Oryzias latipes: one gene and its partners. The protein of the gene in region 2 interacts with the protein of the main gene of each other region in a pairwise test. Links are inferred from orthologs where the notes say so. Each region holds a gene or a part of one and is shown on either strand. Other genes may lie near its edges.

Region 1 (4,106 bases), on a different chromosome or scaffold from region 2:
CAAAAATGGCTTAAGGATGTATAATGTTTAGTGGCCAGTCCTGCATTTGATGAAAGATCTGGCACTCTCATTATCTCACATGGCCTGGAGATTCTATAAACCCACAGCAGCTGCTGCATGCCACGGTTAATGCCGACTTCACAAAGCAAAAATTACACGCAAAAAACATTAACTTACACAAATAGCAATTACCCTTCCCTCAGTTGTCCTTACAAGGAGTATTAAAAAAAATCTCTTGTTCCCTGGGGTGTGTAATATCACACTGCCAAATGAGTTGCTAATGTTCGTGTCCGGGCACAACCACATTTGAAGGTATAACAGCTTTCTCCTCGTGGCTATAAAGGCTGACACACAATAAGAGAACCATCCCACATTTGTGAGAAGATTAAAATAGCTATAGACTTATAAAACCGATGAATCAGCTAATGAGGGAAGGTGAATCACAACATGAATCAACTCCAGATAACCACCACACAAAAAAATCTCTTTAACAATATTCTGAATTTTGGAGCAAAACACTCTTTCCCATTGCTATGGTAGTTGTTTTGCCTGACTTGATTATTAAACTACTTAAATTATAATTATTTAAATGTGTCTTATGTAAACACAAATAGTTTACCAACAATTTTTTAATTTTATTAAAAATATGTATTGATCAAATTTCATAAGAAGAAACAAGCTACTTAATCCCATGTGTGAAAAAACTTCCTTTGTGTTTTTTTATAAAAAAATGTTGTTTTCTCCATGAAGCAATTCATCAAAAAAAGAAAATTCTGTTCATTAACATATTTTTACAGGGCAATAGACATGACATTCAAATAAATAAATAAAAACTGTTCCTTCAAACTAACAATTTGTGCACACAAATTCGAATTTTTTTATTGCGTTCACACAAATTTGCATCTCGTGACCAAAATTTTGCTTTTTATTAACATTTTGTAGGCAAAAGTTACTGTTTTGTGAACACAAATAATTCAAATTACTGTACTAGCCAAATTTGTTGGCTTAGAAATTGTGTGTGCACAAATTAGCAGGCTATTATGTAGGCCTATGAATTAATTAGAATTTTGTGCCAACAAATAAGTATACTGTGGACACAGAATGCTTATAAATTACAAATTAATTGCCCAAAAAAATGCTAAATTGTGTGCACACAAAAAAATTTAAGGCCACATATTATTTTGTTTCTCTTTTTTTCATATTTTTTTTATATATATGTACATTTAAATATGATGTTTAAGTAAAATTATTCCATCTTAAAGCCAACAAGTTAAATGTGCGACTGCGTTTGAGGAATAACTTCATATCCCAGAATCCTCTTCGGCTAAACGTAATCAGTTTCTGTCCAATCATTGATCTTCAGGACTTAGAACCGCAAAAATACGGAAAAACAAGATCAACTGTGGTGTCATCGCCTCAGCTTAATTTTTCCACATGGAAATGTCTTTGATAAAAATTCAATATGGTTTATAATACTTTGTTATAGTGCCTCTAATTTTTTTCGTTCTTATTTCAGCCGAGTCAGATATATTGAGCGTTTTCTCAACTTTAAGCTAGGCTATTCTCGCAGCTAAACAGACTTTTCATGCTAAATCTGACGGATGGAAGTCACTCCAAAACACGAGTATTCATCACCCTGCTGCCCAGAAGAGTCGACCCCCTCGGGATACAGAGAAGAGAAAGTAGGTGACTGAATGGGATGTGTGGTGCACTACATACGACGTAGTGTTAGGTCCACCATGAAAGAAAAAGTCTAAAGAGACGCCGAGGGGAAAATTTTACGGCAATAAAGTTATGCAATTATGAGTAAAAAAAATAGCTCTTAAGTTGTAAATTTATGCTTCAAAAAGTCTACATCTTATAAGTAAAAAGTCACGCGTGTTGAAATTAAAATGTTACATTTTAGATTTTTTAAATCATGTCATAGCGAATTAATCGATTTTTTTTTGTAAATGTACAACTTTATTTTCGAAAAAGTACGACTTTTTCATGTAAATGTATAATTTTTTTAAATCATAATTTTACATATTTTTTAGTTATATAATGTAGATTTTTTTTTTCTAATATTTGTATGACTTTATTCTTGTAAAATGTTAACTTTTTTCTCTTTTTATGCTGGCCTTAATACTCCATCTGTGATTTTTTTTTCTTTTCCCCTCGTATCATCCTAGTGTTTTTCAAAGCTCAGCACTTCGCTGAGGGAAAGATTGAAAAGATCCAGACGCTCCTTTGTTTCTCCTGTCTCTGTGGCCAAACGCCTTTGTGTGGACGATGCAGAGGATGAAGGGCCACACATGTCAGCAGACTCCAAGGAGGCTGTCAGGCAGCCTGCAGAAATCCCACTCAATGACAACAAAAGGGAAGCCCAGTCAGGCAGTGAGCAGACGCCTGAAGCTTTTTTACAGCACCTCAGGAAAGAAGTCAAAGAAAAAACAGAGACTCTACGTCGACTCAAGATGGTAAAGATGTACAGAAGCAAGGTACCAGCCATTTTTCAAACATCTTCAGGGGATCACCGTTTTGCTTTGCCGTAACACTTTTCTGGTCTTTCCCCCTAGAATGATTTAACCCAGCTTCAAACTTTGATCGACAAGTGGAGGCGTTGCTCCCAGAACGCGCTGTATGAACTCCAGTCAGATGTCACTGTGGACGGACGAAGGGCGAATCTGTCTGAGCTTATAGACCTCTTTGGTTTGGACGATCACTTTCTGCACTTTGACCGCCCGGAGGAGGACTTCACTACTTAACATGTTTTTTTTTTTGTTTCTGTTTTTTTTTATTTTACGACTTAAGTACCAGCAGATTAAGTGGTTCTTAATCACTTTATTTGTTGCAGGTTCTTCACAGCAAAAGCACATTTAATGTACAGAGAACTTTTTGCTCAGTTAAGAAACAAAAAAAAATGTTTCACTCAGCTGTATTTCAGCTGATAGACTGAAGTGAAGTTCTTCTTCGTTAGACGTTCAACTTCCGCTAAAAGGACTGTCAGTTCCTCAGCCTGAGCTTTGACTAGAGCCTTCAAGTTGCTTTTCACAGCAAGCTCCAGGTGCCGCTCTTTGGCTTTTGCTTGCTCTTGTTCAGGGCCTAAACAACCAAAATAAAAGCAGATAAATATTTATGCTTGTCTGGGATGACGGAATCGGCGTTTGGCGAATGTTTGTCGATCAGAAACCAACCTGCAGCTTCAGAGACGTGTCTCAGCTGCGCCACGTCCACCCGTATGTCAGGAAGCTGCAGCTCCAGAGTAGAAGTCTTTTTGCTTTTCACGTCAGCTTGTTTATAAAGCTGCTCGATTTCCTTCACACACTGCTGGATGCACTGTTGATGAGCCTGAAAAAGTAAACAGAGTTGTTCATAAAAAAAGCATAAAAAGGCTGGTTTATCGTTGCTTTGTCACTTTTCATGTCACCTCCGTCATGAAAGCAAGGTTTTTCTCCAACATGGACGCTTTCTGTGAAATGCGAGTGCCTTGTTCTGACTCGCTGTAACGCTGGAAATAAAAAAAGAGAAACGCATTAATTAAAAACAGTGTTTCATACATTTTTGCTTCTCCCTTCTTCTCAAATGTTCAATAAAGGCTTTTGAAACACATGCAGCAAAGCTATTTGTCATGCAATGTAAAACCTCACTCTGCCTAGATCTATCTACATTCAAAATTTCTCTCATGGGGTTCAAACAATGTCAGGAAGGCGAACGCTGCACAGCTGCTGAGCTACCTGTACCTGCTGCCAAAGAAAACTGGCAATGCAGCCTGGAAACTTACCATTTTACCCTCTGGGTTGTTAAAAAATAAAGCCAAAAATTAGTTAGTTGGTCTGTTTTTGTGTTTGTCCTCAAACTTTCAAAACTATTTTTAACTTTTAGACTGTGTCCAAAAGCTACATATCGTCAAATAAATTGTCTTATATTTGATTAAACAAACCAATCTGTCAGATTTTGAAAAAATGATATAAAAGAAAGTGACATGCCTACTGAAAGAGGTTTAAGTTCAGCAAATGAAGGGGGAAAAAACCCTGAGTCAATTAAAAAGGGTGTGAGTCTCCTATAAAAGATCATTCATCTGCACTGGGAGATGGGAACAATTTTCTGTTTGCAAAACACCCATG
Region 2 (4,047 bases):
ACCCTTTGAAGCCTGAATTTATCTATGAAAAAGCAATTTCACTCATGTTTTTGTCTTCAAGTAGATCCCAAATGAGGGTAATTTGGAACTGGTCTGATGCATATTTGCATCAATGGGTGACAAGGGGTTAGTAACTGTCAATCTTGTATTTGAACCCCCTGCCCTCTCTACAGAAGAACATCAAAGGTTCAAAAGCGACTGAGTCAAGGTTCGTACTGTACCTTAAGGGTAAGGGTGGATGTCATGCTTTAAAAGCAAAAACAACTACCAGGTGAGGTGTCTCAAGATCATTATCCCAGGATCAGGAGCATCTATTTGATAAACAACGTATAACAGATTTATCATACATTTACAAATAAAAGTTGTTTTTCAATTAAATTCTGTGAAGATCGATTTAAAAGCCTGCTCCTGTTGAGCCTTTGTGCTTTACAAGGAGTTCACTTTACAAAATAAGGTGACAAGGGGCACGGCTCTCCATTAGCATCTTGGTGTAATTATTAGGAACATAAAAGAAAAGAATTCAAGCTTAAAACAATCACTTTCATAAACCCTTAATGTGATAACGTCTTCGACCTCAAAAGAAGCTCCGCCGTTAACCGACACACTTTGCAAACTGCAAAGAGAAACAACAACTCTTTTTCTAAGAGGAAGGAAGCAAAAGGGAGATTTTGTTTAAAATGATTTGTCACAACGAAAGTTATTCTGAACTGTTCTCTTCCAAAGTATGTCACACAACCAGTAGTGACACATATTTCTATATGTCTAACATTAATGTCACACAGAAACCAATTATAATATATTAATTAAGAATATTAATTTCCTCACTGAGATTAAATCAATGTTTTTATTTAGTTCTAATATCTTTTATTTGTTTAATAAATAATATTTCTTCACTCAAATCGTTGAATTTAGTTGATTATTTTCTGTGTTTGTAATGACTCTATACTGATAATTAAGTGTGCTGGACCCCAAATTCAAAGTGATCATAGTTGATCAATAACATAACATGCTGGTTGTGCTGTCAAGATTCCTGTTTTTTTGTCCAAAGTCGGTCACCAAACGAACAAAATCAATAAAAATATCAATGAAAAGTATTATATTCATTCCAAAACTATTTGTGTTGTTAAATTTTGATTTGTGTCCCCTTCGGCAACCCCCCCCCCCCCAATTCCCTCCAACAGTTGCCATGGTAACAATGCGCTTGACAAGTCCACAGTTGAGCGCAGGCGCACTGTTTAACCGTGAAGCATTGTGGGATTGCTGAATATTGACATGGCAACCAAACTGTAGATCCGTTTAGCATCCACACCGGGCTTTTTGCTGCTTCACCCCCTTAGTGATCACCCACTCGGTTGTATGCGTGTTTACCGCCGCCATGAATGCGGCGGTGGTGAAAAAGACTCAGGAAACGTTGGGGAAAGTGATAAAGAAACCACCGCTCATGGAAAAGCTGCTGAGCAAGCCGCCGTTCCGGTACCTGCACGACATCTTCATGGAGGTGAGGCGGAATTCCTGTTTTACAGTATCTTCACGACGGTGTGACTATTTCACAGCCCCTCTTTTAGTCCATTTTGTCGGAAAAAAGCGGAGCGAAAATGCCCTATATACGCTAAGAAATGCGGGGGTACGGCTAGCATCATGGCTAGTGGTATTGCACCTAAAGAAAAGCTCTTTAAGTAAGTTAGGCAGCATTAGGTAACACAGCTGATACGGCTGCCATCACTGGCAGCAAAAAGTAACATATCTGAGGACAGGAACGTTGTATTATTTCAGCAGAACTTCTGCTGTGGTTTAGTCTAAAGTGTTAGCTTCGTTAGCTACCTAGCTAGCTGATCAGCGTCGTTTAGTTGCTAGGCAGCACCTGGGCTCAGACTTCAACAAACCCATTTAACTTGGTCCCTTGTTGAACTATTCAACAGTATTTTTTTCGGATCGTTAAATGACTATGAATGAAGTTTAGTTACTTGTAGAAAAAATTGATGCCGATAACCATCTGCATCTGTGTTATAGTAGAAACAAATACTTTTTAAAACGTCTGAAACTGTGGTTTTAAACATGGATAAATGCTCCCTGGTGTTCTGTCATGGGGAAAAAACCCACTCCTATAAAAGTCACAATTCAATAAATTCTTTTCTATGTTTGCAGTGGTGTTTATACACAAAATATTCAGTATTTGTTTGATTTATTTTTTGCTTTCTTTTCTGAGAGTCTTCTGCATATTTAGTTATTATTATTTATTGATTTTTTACTTATACCAACCATTTTGACTTCTTGTTTTCATGTTGTTTTGATGCTGCCAATGCTTTTGTGCCTTAGAAATATTTTCTTGATTACCGATGAACCTGGCTTTTGTTGGTTTGGAGGTATTTATCTGAAACCATCACTAAATAAAAGAAGGAAAGAGTAACTATATCCAAAAATTTTGAGAAATGACTTATTAATAAAATAGTTATTTTGATCATTTGAAAGTATTTTTGATGCATTTTAACTTTAAAACCCCACTGTTTTGGGTTTTTTAACATGTTCTTGTGGTATTTTTCTAAGAATGGAGGACATACATGAAGAAATTGAAGCTTAGAATTACATTTCTGAGTATTTCTTTATTGAAATTGTTGTGAATCAGGAGCAGGCAGAAATTTTTTTGTGAAAGGGCTTATGGCGTAGAATCTACAGCAGCGGGCCACAAGCTCCCTACTCCGCTCCGTTCTGATGCATCCACTTGTAAACAACTGGTTCCGTGTGCGTCATCGTTTTCTTTGTCTGAGATTGGATCTGGCTCTCTCTGTATGGCTGGATAGCTCCAATATTGCTCACCATTTTTGTTCCACTGGTAATGTCTGGTTGGGGTTGTGAGAAATTTCTAATCGCCTGCAGAAACTCTGTCCTAGGAAACGACACAGGTTTTTTGATTTTGGCTAAAAACGGCATCATCATAAGTAAAGGCCACTGGGAACGCTTTGAAAATGGATCAAAGTCGACCAGAAGGGGACTTAAAATAGACAGAATAAATTAACATGTATAGAGAAGTCTCAGAGGTGTAAAGCAGCATCTGTTTTCTCAACAGAGGTTGGATCTTTTTTTCTATGCCTCACTTGTTACGTTGTCTTGTATTTCACTGCTGTTTCATACATATTTGAACAATGGAGGCACGTCCAGACAGTAATCAGAGTAAAGGAGTCGTTTAGACTCTTTACTCTGATTACATTCTCATCTCTAGGCACAGGACTTAAGCAGAGAGTTCACTAAATCTGCACTTTAGGCTGTCAAGAGTTGTTTAAAATGAGGAAAGATGTTGTTTTTTAATTATTGTTGATATGGCTAGGATTTAATCGATGTTTGCTGCTTTGAACATGAAATAAAACTCATTTTCATCTCTTGTAGGTCATCAGAACCACTGGTTTTCTGAAAGGCTTATATGAAGAAAATGAAATGAAGTCGGATAATGTCAATGTAAGTCCTCTATTCCTTTAGTATCCTGGCAACTCAAGACAAATGTGTCACAGATTTATTCTTTTATGTTCATTTGAATGCATTTGTCTACATCATCAAATATCACACACCTGCAAAGAAAACCAAGAAAACAGCAAATGTGGAAGCTGCTCTTGCTGAGAAAACTTTAAAACTTAAAGTTTTGAAGAACTGAAAGAAAAATATCAACAACTACTTACTCCACATACCTCCAAAAATGTTTTCTAAAGTGAAATATGGACGATTATAAAATGATCAAAAATGCTCTTTTCTAGCCAATCCTTTTTTTCTCTAAACAAAATGTTTTAAAAAATAGTTTTCTAAGAAAACTATCTTTAAAGTAAATCACTTGTATGGGTTCAGACTAATCCATGTTCTACAAGCAGAACATGAATAGAAAGATTTTTTAGTAATTTTAGAGGAAGCTGTCATTTATATGCTGCTATTGAAAAAAATGGAATTATGGAACAGCACATGGACGTCATATAAACTATTTTGATTTTATTAGAAATAAGCTAATCTGTATATTCCTGCATGTAAATAGTTTTTTATGTGCAAACAGGATGTTTGGGATTCATC
Region 3 (4,101 bases), on a different chromosome or scaffold from region 2:
CTTTCTCACCTTTCCCTGTTTGACGATGTAGTATGGGTTACTGCGAGAGAAACCGGCGCTTTCCAGAAGGTTCATGACGTCGTTCTTACTGCAACAACAGCATGTGGAAGACGTTTAATCCTACATTTGTCATTCTCTGTGATAACAGGGACAGAAGCAGTCACAGCTCAGCAAGAACTCACGTCACCATCTTCTTGTCCAAGAAATATTGGTCCTTCTTTGCACCAATGACACGACGAAGAGAGACTTCCTCTTTGTCAATCTGAAAGGACAAAATTCTCACTTGGTCTGTGATCAACAAAGCTATAATTCAGCTTTAATGTTTGTGAATCCCTTTCATGTTAGGAGCAGTACAACAATATGTAAGTGGCAGAACCGATTCTGAAAGTTGTTCCACTAAAAAATGAAAGATCAGCGATGATCATCATTAACAAGATATAAAGACAAATAAATAAGACCATTAAGGGGCCACAGGTGGAGGCAGGTTGCCAGTATTTTAAAGTTTCTATATATTGTTCTAATAAGTAATCTGAGTAATAACGAGAGCTTCTTAAAGACCCACTGCGATGAAAATGGTGTTTTTAGAATGTTCTTGTGGTATATTTCTGATGACGGGGACATTCATAAAGAAAATTAGGACTAAAACTGCATTTCTGAGTCTTTTATTCTCATCGTTGTGAATCCGGGGAGCAGACGAAGAAATGCAGTTGTAAAAGGATTGTATTTGTGACGTAGAAAATACGCTGGGCGGGGCCACAAACTCCCTGCTCTGAGCAATGGGGAAGGTAGGGAAGGGGGGGTGCTCCACCCAAACAGTCCCACCCACAATTTAGAGGTGAATTTCTAATGAACTCCTGCCGCTCTGCAGAAACTATGACGTACAAAACAACAGAGGTTTTTTGCCTAAAGAATGCATCATCATAATAAAAAGACCACGAGAACGCTTTGAAAACAGATCAGATGATGATCAGAGTGGGACTTTACAGACGTAACAGGCCTGTGAGCTGTTAAATAATGCAAACCTGGAAAAGCAAAGTTACTTCCCAAAGTACTGAGGTTAACTTTAGTTATTGATCAAATACTTATTTTCTGCTCCATTGTACAAATAAAATCTGTAAAAATTAAACAATGTGGTTTCCTGGATTATTTATTCTGTCTCACACAGTTAAACTGCGTCTATGACGAATGATACAGATCCAAAGTCTATTTTTATGTGGGACAGCTTGCAGAATCTGTGACTGACAAATACTTTGGTGCTGCTTTTAAATATTTCTATGGTTACTCACTGCAGGTGTCACAAACACTAAAATACATCAATCATATATTTGGATCAACAGGTAACATTCTACTTTCTTTAGGTCTGTATGTCTACATTTAGAAAAAATGTTGGTGACTGAAGGCAGACCTGCACCAAACTCTGAACAGCCCATAAAAACAAATCTTTTTTTTCTTTGAAAACCAGCTTTTAAAGCAAAAACTGATCGACTGGAATGTTAAAAGTTCCAAAGTTTAAAAATACAAAATGTAAACGAAATAGAACGGATGAAAAGGCTTTCCTACCGGCAGCCGGTTATCAGAGTTGTCAAAAATAATTTCCACAAAAGCTGATATGACGCGTGGACCAGTTCCTTCCTGCAACGGGGAGAACGGCCATGAGAGAGAAAACAAACAAAGCAAGAATGACTCCATTAACATGCAAAAAAAAAGGTTGGTCAGAAATCATCTGGTGGTAAAATTCGACATCATACTTACATGCAGAAGGGCCAGACGCTGTTCAGGCCGCAGATGACTGAATTCATCACTGAGGACGAACTGGATGGCTAGGGCGGGGGGCAAAAAGGTTTGGATTTAGCTACAATGGAAAGATTTAAACTAACTAAACTTTGTAAATGAAGCCCACATACCATAGAAAAAGTTACTTTTTCCAGACCCATTTCTTCCAACTGAAAATCAAACAGAGAGAGAGAGAGAACCATGTTTTAGAGAAAGACAAATATACTCACATGGGAAAATCATGTGTTCCAAAACTCATCATGATGAAGCACAGACTCACCGATGACGTTGTGCTTTGGGCTGAATGGATCAACAACAGTTTGGTCCCGGTAACTTCGGAACCCCTGAATGATGACCTGCACCAGACCACAGCAGTTACCACCCACATATGCCGTAGTATGTATGATACATGCCGTCAAAAGGCCTCGGCTAGCCGGGATCGGCTAGCGATGGATTCATCGGCTAATGCTAAATCTATCATTTAAAACTTGTGAGCTATTCCAGACAGAGGGCGAGTTTATGTACGGTATGAGGGGAACAATATGCATTAAAAACGTGGGCGCAATGTTATTTTGTTCGGCTTAATTCACGCATGGATTCAATTCCGCGCTAACAAAAATTAGCATTAGCTTAGCTTCGGCAAGGGGGGCGTCCAGTCCTATTTAAATACTAAAAGTTCCGTCTGAGTGCATTTAATGGGCTTGCTTGATTAAGAAAATAAATATCTACATTATTAAAGACTACAGACCGGGAGTATAAAGATGTTTTGTGTTCCCTGCGCCTTGTTGCCAGACCAGGGAAAGTAAGCAGCAGCACTGCAGAGACAAAAACCCAGTGGATGACTTACCTGTTTGATATACATGGCTGCCTAAACACGGCGTCTCCTTGGAAAAACGCTGGAGATTAAACTCCTCTCCACCAAACCCAAGATTCCGGTAATCTTACTAATCAAATGTTACAAGATAAACGTTTGTATTCAACTAAAATGAAACGAATTCACCAAAACAGAACAACATGGAAAATGGCGGCGGGGGCGGGATGGAAAGGCCTGTTCCATTATGTCAAAATAGGGTTGTGGTAAAGATGTTAGGCTGAATTCGAGGACCTGGACAAACCCGAGCAGTAGCATGAATGTCTATATAATTTTTTTCTTTGAAATATGTACATTTTTTTTTCTGTGTGAACTGTTAAACGTGTGAAACGTGTAAATCTTTTTCCCGTCACAGTTGGTACATTCTGCCTCTGACGTTCTGGGCGCCAAAGCGCAGCTTCGCGCTGACGCTTCCTCCTGATTCAAGCATAACTACCGTAGACGATGTCCGTTCAGCCGGTAACTGTCAACTATTGAAGCCAGTTCCTCACATTAAGAAAACATGTGATTACAAGAGTAAAATACTTTTATTTTTAAAATGACCCGTTTGAACAAATTGGCCTAAAAGTTTATCTTGGTCTTTGGATGAAGATATAGAAGAGCCATGTCACAAACGTACAGTCACAGTAACTAAATACTATCAACATTCATGAGAATTTATGCACAATACTGTAGAGCAAAGGAAAATATTTTGCTATCTCATTACTATCCTTAGCTTGGGCTGTTTGGTTTTGTACAACGTGGCAAACAAAGTTACAAAACTCTTGGTTTACATGGTTTCTGTAACATAAACACACAAAAAACATGAAGGCCTACACAAACACACACACACACACAGGCCTATTATTGAGAGGGAGAAAAATCTCTCCTCTATATTAGGGATACAAAGATTCACAATTTGGTTCAAACGTTAATTTTTTGGTCATGGTTTTGTTTCGGTTCAATAGTTGTATATTAAAAAACAACAACGAAAGATTCTGGAAGAAAAACTGTTTTAAAAATTTCTAATAAGAAAGTAACAATAAAAAAGTCCAGTTGGCCATTACTAAGCAGTACTGTAAATGTACATTTACATGTAATCTACAATTAACAGAACATGTGATGCACTGACTCCATGTTTTCTTGTTGTCAAAGTTCAGTGGGTATAAAGGAGTAGGCTTTAATAAGCTTTCTGCTTTTCCAACATTTTATTTTGCTTGAGTTCTGTTAGAAAAAACCTCTTGAGTGACTGACTACAGTTATCAGCGAGTGTATGAATGTATCTATTGTTGTTTTTATAACATGTTTGAAATACATAAACTAAAATCTCTCCCCATGATTCAGGATGCGGTTCAGTATGTGTTGTTGTTGTTCACTCTTCTGCATGTCCCTTCAGGGGTCGCCACAGCCAATCAGCTTTCAGGGAGTCTCACAGGTGGTTTGGCAGAGATTGTTACACCGGATGCCCTTCCTGACAC

The links. The genes of interacting proteins can lie anywhere in the genome.
Region 1: the proteins of traf3ip1 (region 2) and sfr1 interact in a two-hybrid assay, tested with the Homo sapiens proteins (2 studies listed by BioGRID and IntAct). The link is inferred for Oryzias latipes from reciprocal best matches to the Homo sapiens genes TRAF3IP1 and SFR1.
Region 3: the proteins of traf3ip1 (region 2) and smc3 interact in a two-hybrid assay, tested with the Homo sapiens proteins (2 studies listed by BioGRID and IntAct). The link is inferred for Oryzias latipes from reciprocal best matches to the Homo sapiens genes TRAF3IP1 and SMC3.

What each region holds. Positions count from the first base shown.
Region 1 is NC_019873.2:20,002,336-20,006,441, forward strand, and holds sfr1 (swi5-dependent recombination DNA repair protein 1 homolog), read left to right. Parts: upstream 1-1,346; 5' UTR 1,347-1,601; coding exon 1,602-1,682; intron 1,683-2,171; coding exon 2,172-2,480; intron 2,481-2,558; coding exon 2,559-2,747; 3' UTR 2,748-2,911; coding exon of another isoform or gene 2,912-3,084; 3' UTR 3,085-3,176; coding exon of another isoform or gene 3,177-3,330; 3' UTR 3,331-3,409; coding exon of another isoform or gene 3,410-3,490; 3' UTR 3,491-3,591; downstream 3,592-4,106. Other genes in the region: cfap43 (cilia- and flagella-associated protein 43), read right to left, coding at 2,912-3,084, 3,177-3,330, 3,410-3,490. UniProt on the Homo sapiens protein: Component of the SWI5-SFR1 complex, a complex required for double-strand break repair via homologous recombination. Acts as a transcriptional modulator for ESR1.
Region 2 is NC_019879.2:26,425,716-26,429,762, reverse strand, and holds the start of traf3ip1 (TRAF3-interacting protein 1), read left to right. Parts: upstream 1-1,231; 5' UTR 1,232-1,375; coding exon 1,376-1,498; intron 1,499-3,381; coding exon 3,382-3,450; intron 3,451-4,047.
Region 3 is NC_019859.2:36,679,630-36,683,730, reverse strand, and holds the start of smc3 (structural maintenance of chromosomes protein 3), read right to left. Parts: upstream 2,816-4,101; 5' UTR 2,636-2,815; coding exon 2,621-2,635; intron 2,130-2,620; coding exon 2,054-2,129; intron 1,944-2,053; coding exon 1,905-1,943; intron 1,821-1,904; coding exon 1,753-1,820; intron 1,633-1,752; coding exon 1,561-1,632; intron 263-1,560; coding exon 183-262; intron 89-182; coding exon 10-88; intron 1-9. UniProt on the Homo sapiens protein: Central component of cohesin, a complex required for chromosome cohesion during the cell cycle. The cohesin complex may form a large proteinaceous ring within which sister chromatids can be trapped.